4 linked regions of the Drosophila melanogaster genome follow. The protein of the gene in region 3 interacts with the protein of the main gene of each other region in a pairwise test. Each region holds a gene or a part of one and is shown on either strand. Other genes may lie near its edges. The genes, in order: CG17666, CG4676, CG12679 and Dpm3.

Region 1 (5,495 bases), on a different chromosome or scaffold from region 3:
TACATAACGTAAAGGGCAATATGCAAGCCAAACTCAGTTTAAATCTATGTTTAAAGGAGGAAGCGGGAGAACCCAGATCCATATATCATGTGCTAGAATTTCTCCGTAGTTTTAATGCCTATTTTCTTATTTAACAATCTAATATTCCCCTATTATTATATTATAAACATACCATACAATATTGATGGCTGCACTACACAAACATGTTTACAATGTGCTATGTTCATAGTTTTTAGTTAGGTCTTTTCTAAAACAACTTTAAAGATGTATTTAATTTTATGACAAGAAATTTATATTTTAAAGAAACTTTTTAAGTTTTTCTACAAGCAAAGCCCACAAAACTTTCGAAAAAATCTATATATGTATATGGTATACAAAAGAGAGAAACACATAAAAGAGTGTATAAAATGAAAAAGAAACAAAATACCGATTTGAACTAATAAAAAGTACTAAGGAAAATCGTAGAAATATGCCTGTTTTTAAATTATAAACAATTAAAAAGGAAGAGAAAAGTGCATTCCAAAATGTTCTTTATTTTGAGATAGGCTTGTGTGAAAATGTAAAAAATATTCAACGTTTAATTTAGACATGGTGCACGCGGCCGATGTTGAAAGGAGGACCTTGGTTATTCCGTTGATAGTTCCGATGACTATCCACACAGCCAGCCTTCCACCGCCCACTGTATGGAGAGCTGAAGTGTGGCGAGGCAGTCGGAGAATAGCCCGGCATGGTTGAAACCTCTTGCCTTGGGCATTTCCAGGGTGCAAACGTAGAAGGCGGAGCACAGCTTCCCAAACTCACAGCCGTGCCGCCGGAATTTCGCGTGCTATTGGACGATCTGTCTTGCCTTTCCTTTTGCTTCGGCTTCGGAGGAATCTTCTCCAGCTGAGCAGCAGGGGAGTTGCTGCAACAGCAACCGCACGGACTGCAGCAGTAATTGCAGCAATTACGACAGCCATTGCAGCAATTCGCGCAGTAGTAGTAACAGCCGGTGCAGGGATTATAGTACCAGGACCAAGGACATTGGTTCGAGCAGGGCATGCAGCAGGTATTTACTGGAGCTGGAGCATGATTGCAGGGTACTGGTGGAGGATTCGAGGGTGCTGGTGGAGGATTCGAGGGTGCTGGTGGAGGATCTTCGTTTTCCCTGCGAAACGCATTAATTACTCCTTGATGGAAGTGGACAGAAGTGGGTACTCACTCAGGCAAATTGGCAGAGCAGCCGCAGGTGCGCATTTCTTTTGTCGGAGGCGTTGGACATGGTTTCTTGCAGTTACACGGGCAGTGGGCATCCTCGTCTTCTGGTGTTTCCTGTGGTGATGCTACGGTACCTTCTATTTCGTTGCTGCTGTGCTCGCTCATCTTGTTCTTGACTTTTGAGCCATTCGATTTCTTATTCTTCTTGGCAGACGGTTTCGCTTGCTTTTTGCTCTTGTCCTTGTCCTTCGGCATCAGGAGGTGACACCACTTCTGCAGGTCACACGGAGGACAGGACTCGGTGAGGCTGCAATGGATACGGAAGACATTACTTCGTGTTCGATTAAAGATGTGTGCCGAATGGTGGATTGAGTAAGCCTAATTCGAGAGCTGTAATAGCTCACGAACTCTGACATTAAACTCACCGGCTGAGAAGCTCAAGGCAATTCTTTTCCTGCGTCTTCTTTTTTCCAGAGTTCACATTTTCTTCCGGTGGACAATCAGATTCTTCGGAAACGTAATGAGGATAGTATTGATTGTTGGGATCGAACCGAGTGCAGCAGCATTTAGTGGATTTCTCCTTCGATGGTTTAAAGCTTGATGGAACTTTATTCGAATTTTTATCCTTTTTGGGTCCTGCCTTCGATAAGTTTGGTGCACTTGCTGCTTGCGTTCTATTCACGTCATGTCCTGGCTGAGCATAAAAAGGATTATGGTCTTGGACAAATGTGGCATTAAGTGGAGCGCATTCATTGTACGGATAATACTGATTGGATGGATCAATGCCCATGCCCACCCTCTGCTGGTCATAAAGTACGGGTTGTCGATTGGTAGGTGCTCCTACAGATTTATTACGATTTCTTGAATCGTACGATCTGTTGTTATCACGAGAACGCACTTCACCAGCGGATGCCATTGACTTGGGCGCGGACCTATGATCTACATTTCTATCTCCACCACTATTAGAATGATAATTGGTTGTGGCTCTACTGGCTTGTGGTTTTCCGGAACGACCTTCCCTCGACTCATTTCGGTGACTGAGCGACTTGGACCTCTGAGCACCTGGACTAGCATGAACATTTTCAGGAAAATTATTATTGGCATAAGCTCTGCCTGATCGATCTCCCCTAGATGGGCTTCGTTGATTTGGAGATTTAGATCTGTTGTTACCATGAGGCAGTTGCCCCTTTGATGACTCCAATTGGGGAACTGGCCTTGAATGTGTGGCTTGACTCTGCTGGTTATAGACTTCAGATCTGTTAGCACCAACATGAACTTGATTCGTTGATTGGGGAACAGTATAGCTATAATTCTGATTGTTGGGCTCACAGTTCATTGGTTGATTATTTCGGCCATAAGCTGGTGCACTTCCTCCTGAGGTAGGAGTGACTGGCATTTGATTTATTGGACGTTGTTGGAATGTTGCATCGAATGGAATATACTGACTATTGGGGGCACAGCTCATGCCTAAACCCTGTATAAATTGATTATAGGAAGGTACTTGCGCCGTTCCTTGTGGCCTTCCAGGTGGCATTTGGCGATCTCCGCATTGGTAGACTTCTCCGGTACAGGGATTAAACTTATTTGTGTACTGTGTGGGTAGACCTGCCGCTGGAATAGATCTTGGATCACCCTGACCTACCGAGGATGGTGGAGCCACTGGTAGAACTATGGGACCAGGTACACCAAAGCCTCCATATTGAGTCGGTGGCGGGATACCAAAAATCATTGGATTTCCTGTCGGTCCGTAAGTTCCATAACACGGAATAATAGTCGGTTGTCCCGGTTGGAAGCCAAAGCCTGTTCCGTAGGCTCCAGTTCTAGCTAGATCGTCTTGCGCGCAATCTTCAGGATTCTTGCATCCATTCTTACCATCTTGACATGGATTCTCACAACTCTCCGCACATGCATCCATGTTTAAACACGGATCCTTACAATTGTCCCCACAGGCTGAGCAACTTTTCGATCGTTTCCTTTTCTTTGGGCGCTCTGGCGTCTTTAGAAGAAAACTGGGCGGCACCATGTCCGAAAACTTTTGGAACTCCCCAGAAAACACGACGCGACAATTCCTCATATTAGAGGAACAAGATCGCTCACAGCAACTTGGTCGAGGACAGCACCTGCGGATGAGTATAAATGCAATTGGGTTGAGACACTAACTATATTCTTATACTTACCAGCCATTGCCATGGCAGCTTATGCACCTCCTTAAATATCGACATGGATCGCACATTTTCAACTCCTGGTTCTGTTTAAAAGTCCACCTTCACTCATGGTCAATTACGAAGAGTACACAAACATAACATCGGTAGTCAAAATCATAAAAAAGTAGAAGTAAATGGTACAATTTATATTTTTGATGTCCTAAACTAAGACTATATTGTTAAAATCATTGCATGATCAGTTGTGATAAAACAACGTTTTGAAAGTGGTGCTACCATCTTCATATATGTGTTCTTTACAGATTATAATATGATATGAATATAAGAGAAACCTTGTAAACAAAAAGACTTCCTTGGTTTATTTAACTTACTATTTATGTCGACCAAAACTCTCTTTTTAGTTTTGGTCAAAAAAATGACATTACAAAATTCTTTGTCACGCCAAAAAACAAATTTAAACGGAAGCATTGTATAACTGAGACAAAAAATTGTATTTGGGAAAAAAGAAGAAATGCCCAATGACGGAGTCAAGTCAACCAGGCCCAGTCCCTATTGGCGTCATGCGAGTCCTCCTCCGAGGAGGAACATAGCATCGGAGCAATACAGCAATCGAGTCGGACAGCAGCTGGTGCGAGCCCTGGCTCAGAGCTTACCGTCTGGACAGGAAGCCGTGCGTTCCCGATCATCCTGCCCACCAACACCTCGTCGTCGCCGGCAGGCAAGTGTCTGCAGATCGATGGGAAGTCCAGAGTTTGTGCCATTGATGTCGCACAGTAAGCCCAAGGCATCGGTTCGATTGAAGGCGGGTATGCCGGTGAAACCAGTGTTGGGAGGAGATCCACCCAATTCAAAGACTCCTGGTCAGTCTATGATGGCCTCAGCCAAACGTCGCAATGAATCCCCCACAGTGAAGGCAAAAAGCAGGGAAGAAGAGTTCAATAAGATACCAGAGCTGGTTAGTGAGGCATCCGTCGCCAAGGCCAGAGAAAAAGAGTTCGAAAAGATACCTTCCGGAGTTCCGAGTTTGACCGAAGAAAACAAGCAAACAGAAGTGAAAGACACAAATAATTCAATCCCGGAAACGCATGAGAACTTGAAACCGGAAACGAAAACCAATTTTATAATAGAGGAAGAAAAGCCCACAGAATGTATACCAGAAACGGAACCGAAGCCATCGAACTCGAAGATAATTCCCTGCTTTCGAGGAGAGTATCCCACACGACATCGTCCTGGTACTTGCCAATGGTTTCAATCCGACGTCCCCAATTGCGGAAATATCGTGACCATATGCGATGAGGAACACCAAATTATGGGTGAAGCGGAAATAGTCACCGCTTGCCAGGTTACCGAAGCACATTTCCTCAGCCTCGATTGTGAAAATGATAACATGAACAACGAACCGCCATCGATTTCGAGGTGCAATAAGTGCACGGGTTGTCCGCAGCAACAGAATGGTAATTGGTTTGGACAGCAACGATCTTGTCCTCAGCAGCAACAACCTTGCTTTCAACAGCAACAACCGTGCTTTCAACAGAAACCATCTTGCTTGCAGCAGAAACCATCTTGCTTGCAGCAGAAACCATCTTGCTTGCAGCAGCAACCATCTTGCTTCCAGCAACAGCAACGAAATTGTGGACGAAATCCACCCTGTCCCAATGTGAAACCAAAAGGATGTCTCAAGTGTCAGGAGCAGCAGCAGTCTGGCAAAGCATTTGCATACAATTTGCAGCAGTCGATGCAGCAGCAAGTTCTGCCGCAGATGCAGAATGTGTATCCTTGTCAGCAGCTTCAGCAAGTGAATACCTGTGATCAAATGGAACAACAAATGCAACAGCAAGGCATTGAGGAGAACAACTATGGCCTGACCGAAATGCTGGCCGAGGAGCTAAGAAAGCAAATGCTCGAGGCTCAGGCGCAGATTGCACAAGTGCAACTGCAGTTGAATAGCGCGTGTGGAGCCACAAGAGTGCGACAGATGCATGTGCTGTCCCAAAATGCCACTGACGTCCCACGTTGGGCGCCAGAAACTCAGTTTATTGATGTACTGGCAGAGGAACACGACGTGGGAGATGCCCAACCAGATGAAACAATGGAAAACGGCGAAGAGGATCAGGGATTTAACTCGCAAGTGGATCA
Region 2 (3,505 bases), on a different chromosome or scaffold from region 3:
GGCGACCGAAGTCTTCGCCCACATTGACAAGAACCAGCACAGAATTCCCGGAACACCAAGCCTAAATGCTCTGATAGAATTTGTGGACGCAAGTGTGCAGGAGAAGTCACCCAGCCAGGCGCTGTTTGCCCTGCAATATGCCGTTGAGAACAACTTTGATTCCAGGGAGTTAGCCAAACGTATTCATGAAGGATTTACCCTAAATGAAACACACCTGTCTAAGCTGAAATCGCTCGTAGGCGAAAGTTTCCTCGATAAGTAGTAGAGTCTTTTGTAAATTATATAATGAACGCTGTTAAATAAATAACCATTTAATAAATACTTGTTTGGTTTCATTAAACAGATTAATTTAATACATATAATAGACATTACTGAATGAATACACAGTATTCTAAATATTTTGTAAAGCTTTATGTTAATAAAAGGCTTTGTACTATTTTAACTTGTAAGCTGATCAAATGTGTGACTTGTAAACATTAAAAATTAATTTCCATTGGTCAAGTAGAGAATAGTAAGACGTATAAATTTGGATACTATTTCCAATTCAGATGTTGACTAGTGAGTCTTAAAATAAACAATACTGATTTTGTTATGAAGTAGATATAAGTAAATGCCTCTAATGAATGTCAAGAATGGGTAAGACACAATTCAGATCTATTCCTCCTTTGGAGAAAAGGCGGCTATGGGTTCCCAGTTCATTCCGTCGTGTGGCAGATCGCTGCGTAGAAACGGCGACAGCCAGGTGAGATGCATTCTCTTGCCCAGAACCATCTCCAGGTTACCCCGCAAACCGCGATCGTACTTTCTTGTGCCGCGCTCTCGTGTCACCGAACCGCTCTTGAATATCGACCAGTGGAAGACAAGGAGCAAGGATGATATGGCGAAGCCCAGAAGGGTGAGATCATATATGACCAAGTAGAAGGACTCCCAGCTTGGAGACAGCATCAGGCTAACCACGGGAGCAAATATGGTGAACAGCGTAGACCAGCGCCAGTAGATGTCCAGATGGAGATGCCACAGATAGATGCTCTCCATGATGGCGGCCGCCAAGGATCCGATGATCATGTAAACCAGGTAGTAGAAGAAGTACCTGTAGTTGTGATGCCCGATGCAGCAGCAAGTGAACCGACAGTGGTGGTCCCGCTTCAGCACGCACACGTTGCACACTTCGCAGTGCCAGGATCGAGGTGGCACCAATGTCTGACAATCCTGGCAAGAGTGCCACCGTGCCAGCTGCGCCGCATCCAACGGTGGCTTCAGCAGCTCCTCTATAAAGACAATCTTAGAAGGGATACCACAAAATCACTGCTTGCTACCCACTGCGGATACTAGTGTCCACAAGCATGCAGGCCAGCATGTTGGATGTGATGTTGAAGATGAGGAACAGGCTGGCCAACCATAATAACGTGTACCAAATCCCTCCGATGGCAAACAGTTCCGGCATAACAATGGTCACATGGAAGATGTATGTCACGGGCACAAAGACAGCCACCAGGAGGAAACATGCGAAATCCGAAATGGAACGAGGTTTAACGCGATCCCACGAGCGCAAAATCATCATGCTCCCGTTATTTTTTGTACCCCCCAACTGAGACAGTGCTGCAAAGCGATTTTTGGCTCTGCTGCTAACGGTAAGACTGTTAAGTCGAGTATGGTGAAACGGTTAGAACACAACTCTTTACGTTAGGAAACCCGTAAAATGTTAAATAAGATTGAATTTAACAGAAGCAATCCGGTTTTTAAAGAACACAAATGATTTAATTTAAAGAAATATAAATATATAAGGTAATAATAAGTAACTTAATACGAATAAATCAAATGTCATAAACGATGGTATATTAAAGGAATACAAATGTTATAAGCTTAAGTTCTTAAGTTTGCTTTATATTATTACATAAAAACTTGAAATTAAAAATAAAATTTTATTTGAAATTAAAGAACGACTTTATAATGGGGATTTCTACTGTGAAATTACAAAAACAAAAACCATACAAAATTGATAAGGCATAGCGCTTCGATGAAACTTTGCTTTGTTTTTTTTCTTGGAACTTTTAAAGGCGATTCAATTAATATATACGTGTGCATAATAGGTTGGGGTTTTTTTTTGCGGATTATCGAAAACCATATGACGAACGAGACAATAAAATAAAAGAATATGTTTAACTAAACAATGTAAAGTTTTAAATTGTGAAAAATAATCATTTCCTTGATGTAGAGTGCAAGCAGGTATAAAACATTGCCTAGCCTAGGTGCACTGTTCTTTTTATATTACTTTAATAATTTTTTTCTTTTTTAGGTTTTAAAATTTTGGGAGCGAACTAGTTCGCAGTAAAAATGAATTCGTGTAGCTAGTAGTTTATACATATATACCAAATGACTTTTACTGACAATAAAACAAATTAATAGGCAAAGTAATTTAAAAATGCACAAATTATATGGCACGAAAAACGTTTAACATCGTTTCGCTTCGCGAGTTTTGAAAATAGCTGAAGAATCGTAGCTAGAAAGCAGACGATTTGGCATCCCTGGCAGCAGTTAATCAAACCACTTGCGACCGTAAAACATTCCAAATGCTTCGGTGAAGTTAAATCTTATCGCAGCAGAGCAGTCGCGTTCCACATCGCATTCCGTACGAATCGCAGCCGCAACCGATCCCGCAAATTGGGTAGATCCGCAAAATGTCGGCGACGCACCTGGTGATTCTGGCCGTCGCTCTGCTGGTGGACATCGCATCCGCGGGCGTTCCCCTTCCGCGATACGAGGCGCTCCTCAAGCAGCAGTCCCCTCCATCGGATCCCACACTGGGTCTCTACGACGACGGGGATAAGGTTATCCGCCTGTCGGTCGACAACTTCAATGCTACCGTCCTGGACCAGAATCGCGGAGCATTAGTCGAGTTCTACAACACTTACTGCGGCCACTGTCGCAGATTCGCACCCACGTACAAGTCGGTAGCGGAGCACCTGTTGCCCTGGTCCGAGGTGCTCATCGTGGCGGCCATCGATTGCGCCGCCGAGGAGAACAATGGCATCTGCCGCAACTACGAGGTGATGGGCTATCCAACGCTACGTTATCTGGGCCCCGGTTTCCAGCCGGGTCCTCAGCATTACGGGCAGAGCCTGCATACGCAGGATAAAAACGAAATCCGCGAAATACTAGCGGGTATGGTGGCCGCAGAGAACCTGACCAGCAGCCACAACAATTCCTACTGGCCAAACTTTCACTACTTAACGGAGAACGATTCAGCCAGCAGTTTGTTCGAAGGTCTCAGCAGCGCCACGGAGTACGTGGCAGTGGTTCACGAACCGGAGAACACCACTCTAGGCGTCGAGGTGGCTCTGTTCATGACCCAGTGGCCAGCGGTGAGGGTCCGGCGCGTCATCGATCCAGCCGTGGCCGCCAAATTCAAGATTGATCCGACCAATCTGCCCCTCAGCTTGGTGGATCGCAAAGGTGAAATTACGGCGTACGCGCCGGAATCTACCAATGGTGAATCGTATGCCAA
Region 3 (2,949 bases):
AGTCGCCAAGGAGTGAACATCCATCCACCACCAGCACCGCCCCAAGGAAGCGGGCCACACCACCCCGCTTCCGTGGCCTTGCCTTGCCTTGCCTTGCTTATGCAATTTGGTATGTGTTTCCCAAGAAACCTTTGTTGCATTATTGCCGCAATTTGCTGAAGTGGTGACGTGAGAGCCATCACAGTGCTGCGTCCACGAATATTGCCCCGTCCCTTTCCTTCTCTGCCCTCCTGAGTCCCTCGTCCTGAGACCCCAGTCCTTCGTCCCTCGTCCGTCGTCCGTCGTCCTTCGGCCCTTGAACCGCGTCTTTTTCGCGCTGCCCCTTCAGCCAGACAGCGAACAAATAACAACTAAGTTGGCAATTTGAAGTCGCGCGAGTGAGTGAGGCTAGTTAGCCGCAGCACACCGAAGTCTGTATACCCTTGACATGGTTTATGGCTTATATAGTAGTGCTATATTGCTTATTCCTTTCTCATTGTAGATTTGTAATTCATATCCCCAAACTACAAATCCCTAGTGCCTTGTATTCAATGATAGTTGGCTCAACCAATTTCAAATGCTGATTCATCATCTTGGCTTTATTTCGCGAACCGATCAAATTTAAGTTTTAGCAATTAGCCCTCAGTGAGTGCGTAGGTCATAAGGGCCAGGATGCCGGTGTTTCCCAGAGTCTCTACAACGTTGCTAAGGCCCTCGTTGCAGCTATCGACAATTGCACCGCCGTATCTGGCGAGGAGCGCGGTGGCAGCCACACCGAAGTAGATATGGTTGCCGTCCTTGATGGCCAGATACAACGTGGAGCCGATGTTGCCCAACAGAGCGAGGTCCATCAGCGTCTCCGTGGAGCTGTCCCAGTCCTCGCTGATCTTGCCGATCATGTCGTAGAACAGTGGAATCAACGACAGGCCGTGCACCAGCGCCACTCCCGACTGATCGGATACCAGGTAGAACTCGATGTTCGCCAGTGGCAGCGGGATAACCTCCAGTATGATGGCTGAGATCATAAAGGTGCGTCCGCACTCGTCGGGCTCGTTGGCAAAGGAGCGAACCACGCCCAGCACTCCGTGGACCAGGCTGAAGGATGCCGCCAGGAAGGCATACGGATGGTCCGCCGGGGTCAGTGAGGTCATCGTGTAAATGCAGGCCAAGATCAGCAGCAGATTGACCAGTGCCCCCACCACATGCATTTTCGGCGCTTCTCTTCGTTCCTTCGAGAATTCTATCGATTCTGTCAGTCTGGTATCACGATATGCGATTTCACTTATTTGTTACGAACACAGGAACTAAAAATTTTGAAAGTTGCTACCTTGAGACTGGGGTCTGGAATGACTGAATCCAAATGACTCCCACTGGCAGAACATTGAAGACCGAGTCCAGGCCAACTCTGTTTAATCGATTTATCAACTCAGTTTTGCTAGATAAATGTTTTGAGATTTAAAATGGCCATATCATAAGCAATACACAAATGTATCGGGTTCTCGTTCTTATTCAAATACTTATACCTTTTACCTTTTACGACATACAACATGAGAATTAAAATGGCTACAAGGACTAACAATCCTCATTATGAAGTATGCTTGCATACCCTTCCTTCGTTGCAATCATTCGTTGTCTAATCCAAACCCACTTCAAATCCCGAAGTTCCTGAACCAAATATAACCAATAACCAAGCCAGTGCAGCCAGTATGCCAAGGGGACAAAGGCTGCTCATCGCCAAAGTGGCTAACGTTGGCCACCTCAGATTACGACCAGGGATGGATGTCGGCAGGGTCACTGAGTCACTCCCGGCTGAGTGGTTAGGGAGGCAGCATCAGAACATCGATCACAACACCTGAACGAACGCAGTATATAAATAACCAATCTGGATTTTGATCCGCACAAAGGACGGGAGTGGTAACCCCCAAAATCCCGAGCGCCCTTTTCGGGGCTCCAACGCTTCAATAAAACTGCAAAGTGCCAATTACAAAAATAACAAGTTAGCCCCAAAACTTATGTTGGCTTTCCGACTTGCCGTTGTTTCTTTTGCTTTTTTCCTTTATTTGCCCCGATGCATTATTAAGTTTATACCAAGAAATTTCCCGCACTGCATTGGACGTGTGTGTGTGGTTGTGTGTGTGTGAGAGAGAGTGGCATTTAGCTGGCAAGGACATTTTCATGGTTTTCCAGTCAGAGAACTGCAAGGGTGGCACTTTTTTACCACTCGACTCACACCCTACAATTTTGTGTGCGGGTGCTACTCGCCACGCACATCGCGGGTACTTACAAACACACAGTATAAATCTGAACATGCAGACAAGACACCCCGTTGTGTGCGCACCCGAATCAATACGGTGTTTTGCGTCGCGGGTGCCGCTCACACAGTGCCTAAAAAGGGATGAGTGAGAAAAACACTTGTGGGTATACCGTTAAACACATGGGTGTTTCCAAAAATACTCGGGTGTTTCCAAAAATACTCGAGTGGTCTCGTAGGTAGTCGAGTCAAATGGCGCCATACATAATGATTGTTGAGTTCTTGTGTCTTTGGTCCAGTGTCTCGGCTGTTAATTGCCCCTTTTTTGTTTTTTACGATGCAATTACTAGCTTGTTAGGATTCAGTATTATTTGGAAGCCAAAGGAAAAGGTCACAATAATGGCAGAAGCGGCTGATTTCGTTAAAAATAAAATTAACAATGGAACATACTCAGTTGCCAATAAACATAAAGGAAAAAGTGTTATTTGGAGCATTTTATGTGACATTTTAAAGGAAGATGAAACTGTTCTGGACGGATGGCTGTTCTGCAGGCAATGCCAGAAAGTGCTCAAATTTTTACACAAAAACACCTCCAATTTATCCCGCCATAAATGTTGTCTAACATTAAGACGACCAACGGAATTAAAAATTGTTTCGGAAAACGACAAGAAAGTAGCTATTGAAAAATGCACCCAATGGGTTGTCCAAGATTGTCGGCC
Region 4 (2,806 bases), on a different chromosome or scaffold from region 3:
TCTTGAAATTTATTTCTATTTTCAAACTATTGTCCGCCATTAAAAAAAAAATTACACAAATTAACTTCAAATGGCTATTAATCGGTTTATATTGGATCTTTTGAGTATCACAACATTCAGCTTCGCAATTATAACTCCTTCCAGTATTTTGCAGAAGAGAAAATTAAAGTTTTGAAACAGTATATTTTTTTCTCTTTCGCATTGTAATTAAGAGAATTTTAAAAAAATTGATTTATTGGAAATAGATAGCCAAAGCATGGATTTGCAATATATGGTTCGCACTTACGAGTTTTCCATATACCATGTTCATTAAGTAAAAATATGTTTTCCGTAAAGAATATTATTAATCTCTTTAAACGTATTTTACCTCATATACTTTTTTAGTTTTCTTATATTTTTTATTTTGAGTAATTCACAGGGGAGCTAAGCCAATTAAACATAAACATATTCCATACTTTTTCAAGCATATCCTTTCAAAACCTCAACATAATTTGGCCACCAAACTTCCGACACCTGGGGAAATCAGCCCCCAACAACGCGTCCGCCCACACAAAATGCGGTCTAGAGTAAATTTGCGTAATTTTTGTTTTTATAAATAATGGAATTACAGATTAACATGCACAAGTCCTACGAGCTGGAAGTCTCCTAATCTCGAAACCGAAATCCCTTGGCTATCAAATCCTTGCGAGCCTCCTGAATTTCATCCTGCAGCTCCTTGGCGGCCTCGGGACAATCGTTAAAAGTCAGAGTTCTATATAGAACAGTCCAAACGGAATATATCTGTGGGTAATATATAGTAGTAGTCAATAAGAGGTGTTATCTGCATTGATTCATATCCAAAAACTCACTCCAAAAATCACGAGGAGCAAAAGTGGTAAAAGCTGAATGTGCAGGAAATACTTGGTAGTTAGTGGCGTTTGCACTGTTCCCAAAACAACGGAGAGATAGGGAATCGCAAAGAGCGATGCGTAAAATAGCCAGCGTTGTAGATTTGTCATAGCTAACGAAATTTATTGGTAAACAAAACTAAACCGAAAATAAAGTTCTACACGTAAACATAGAGCTGGAACTTAAGCCGATGGTCACCCGGTAATTCGATATCGATATTTACCGGCTACTATCGATAGGAGGTTTACCTATTCAAATCTAGTTAGAGGTTTTCCTATTCATGTCTAGTTGGAGATTTTCTAATTAGTAATTCGTAGCCTGACGGCTTCCAGTTAGACATTGTTTACTTTTCTAATTGGCTAACTTAAGTGTGACCAAGCCCTAAGCACGTGCCATAGCACAAAGCTATCCACAGTCAGCAAATCAAATGCCATACTACTCAGCTAAACACAGTCAGCAATTTATCGATAGATCAAAGTTGCGCCATAACAGCCAGCCTTCTACAGCCAGCAATTTAAATCAGAGTAATCGATTGACGCAGTTTCAAACTTGTTAAAACTAAGTTTTAATTAAACGTTGGTGGGCGTGGTTTCTGCGGCGCCCACTGTACACGGCGTGTTGGCAAGCAGGTCAGCGGTTCGGCAGCCAATTATTTGGAACTTGACCTCGTTCGCGGGCAAGTCGCCGCCAACAAAGAGTTTCGGCTGGCTGCTCAAGGCCCACAGCTCCTCCTCTCCCTTGGAATTCCTGTTGATCTTGAGGCCCGTGACGAACTTGATCTTGTGCGGATTGTAGGCCACCACACGCAGGTCATCCGCCGTGTAGTTGGACACGGACTCCTCCCATTTCACCAGCGCCCCTAAACTGATGAGGCTGCAGTAGAGATTCCCCGACTGATCCATCACCTCCGATTCGCACTGGATTCCTCGGGTGCCCAGGCTGTGGAAGCTATCCCTGCTGGCATTCGCAGACTTCCAGAAGGTCTCGTTGTTGATCAGGGAGAGCGGAACCCTCATCTCATTAAAGGAGTTCAGCGTGTGAAAGTACAGAAAGCGGTCTGTAAATTTGCATTGGAAATTATAAATAATTTTTGAGTATTTAGAATTTAAATTGAATAGCTACCTTCCACTTCGCTGGGACTGAGGCTCACTGTAAATATTCCCGCCTGCGAGTTGCTGGAGCGTCCTAATCTCAGCAAGGGCGACGGCTTCATGGACTCATGCTCTATGCGCCAGGATCGTCCCGTCAGGGAGTCAAACACGATTAGACCATAACCCCAGGCATCGGCTATATACGCTCTGCCGCCAACACATCGGTTGGGTGTGCCCCTCTCGGCCAGATCCACCACCAAAGCCGTGAAGATGGATACGCTGGGAATGTAGGAATCGGGCGGAAGTGCGTGTCGTTGGACTAGTTCGTCCTTCACCAAATCAAATGTGAGAATTTGTGGCGGGCACAACTGCAGGGAGTTTACCTGCCCTGAATCCACCACCCAGAGTCGCCAGCACTCGTCGATCTGGGAGAAAACGATAAATATTCATGAAATATCTTCTGTTGGGAAAATATGCTTTATTACTTACATAAGTCCTAATGGCTGAGGTGATGCCGGAGCAATTGTTGGGTGGCACGTGCCACTCCTCGTTGGGATACGGTTCCAGTCTGGGATTCTCCACCAGCTCATTGTGCTCCGCAATGACGGTGGCCAGTGTGAAGGGTGTGGCCATCCCCAGTCGCGGAATCGTGAGAAAGGTGCGATGCCTGCCCTCATCGCCGTACTCAATGTCCACATCCACCGGCAGAAAGCGATTGCCCTTGGACAGATCGTCGCCCAAACTGAGGTTCGTCCACTGATGCAGGGTGTGCAGCTCCTTGAGGACCAATGCCTGGCCCTGGACTGCACAAAATAATGCGAGCAGGA

The links.
Region 1: the proteins of CG12679 (region 3) and CG17666 interact in a two-hybrid assay, tested with the Drosophila melanogaster proteins (one large-scale study listed by BioGRID).
Region 2: the proteins of CG12679 (region 3) and CG4676 interact in a two-hybrid assay, tested with the Drosophila melanogaster proteins (one large-scale study listed by BioGRID).
Region 4: the proteins of CG12679 (region 3) and Dpm3 interact in a two-hybrid assay, tested with the Drosophila melanogaster proteins (one large-scale study listed by BioGRID).

The regions. Positions count from the first base shown.
Region 1 is NT_037436.4:12,779,397-12,784,891, reverse strand, and holds CG17666 (uncharacterized protein), read right to left. Parts: upstream 3,568-5,495; 5' UTR 3,431-3,567; coding exon 3,375-3,430; intron 3,318-3,374; coding exon 1,623-3,317; intron 1,589-1,622; exon of another isoform or gene 1,505-1,588; coding exon 1,202-1,504; intron 1,148-1,201; coding exon 583-1,147; 3' UTR 515-582; downstream 1-514. Other genes in the region: CG10969 (uncharacterized protein), read left to right, coding at 3,871-5,495.
Region 2 is NT_033778.4:13,234,071-13,237,575, reverse strand, and holds CG4676 (uncharacterized protein), read right to left. Parts: upstream 1,597-3,505; 5' UTR 1,562-1,596; coding exon 1,321-1,561; intron 1,269-1,320; coding exon 655-1,268; 3' UTR 521-654; downstream 1-520. Other genes in the region: CG4679 (uncharacterized protein), read left to right, coding at 1-262; Qsox1 (quiescin sulfhydryl oxidase 1), read left to right, coding at 2,679-3,505.
Region 3 is NC_004354.4:20,375,206-20,378,154, forward strand, and holds CG12679 (uncharacterized protein), read right to left. Parts: upstream 1,318-2,949; 5' UTR 1,188-1,317; coding exon 615-1,187; 3' UTR 559-614; downstream 1-558.
Region 4 is NT_033777.3:13,401,991-13,404,796, forward strand, and holds Dpm3 (Dolichyl-phosphate mannosyltransferase subunit 3), read right to left. Parts: upstream 1,062-2,806; 5' UTR 999-1,061; coding exon 849-998; intron 781-848; coding exon 646-780; 3' UTR 569-645; downstream 1-568. Other genes in the region: yellow-e3, read right to left, coding at 1,458-1,945, 2,011-2,404, 2,469-2,806.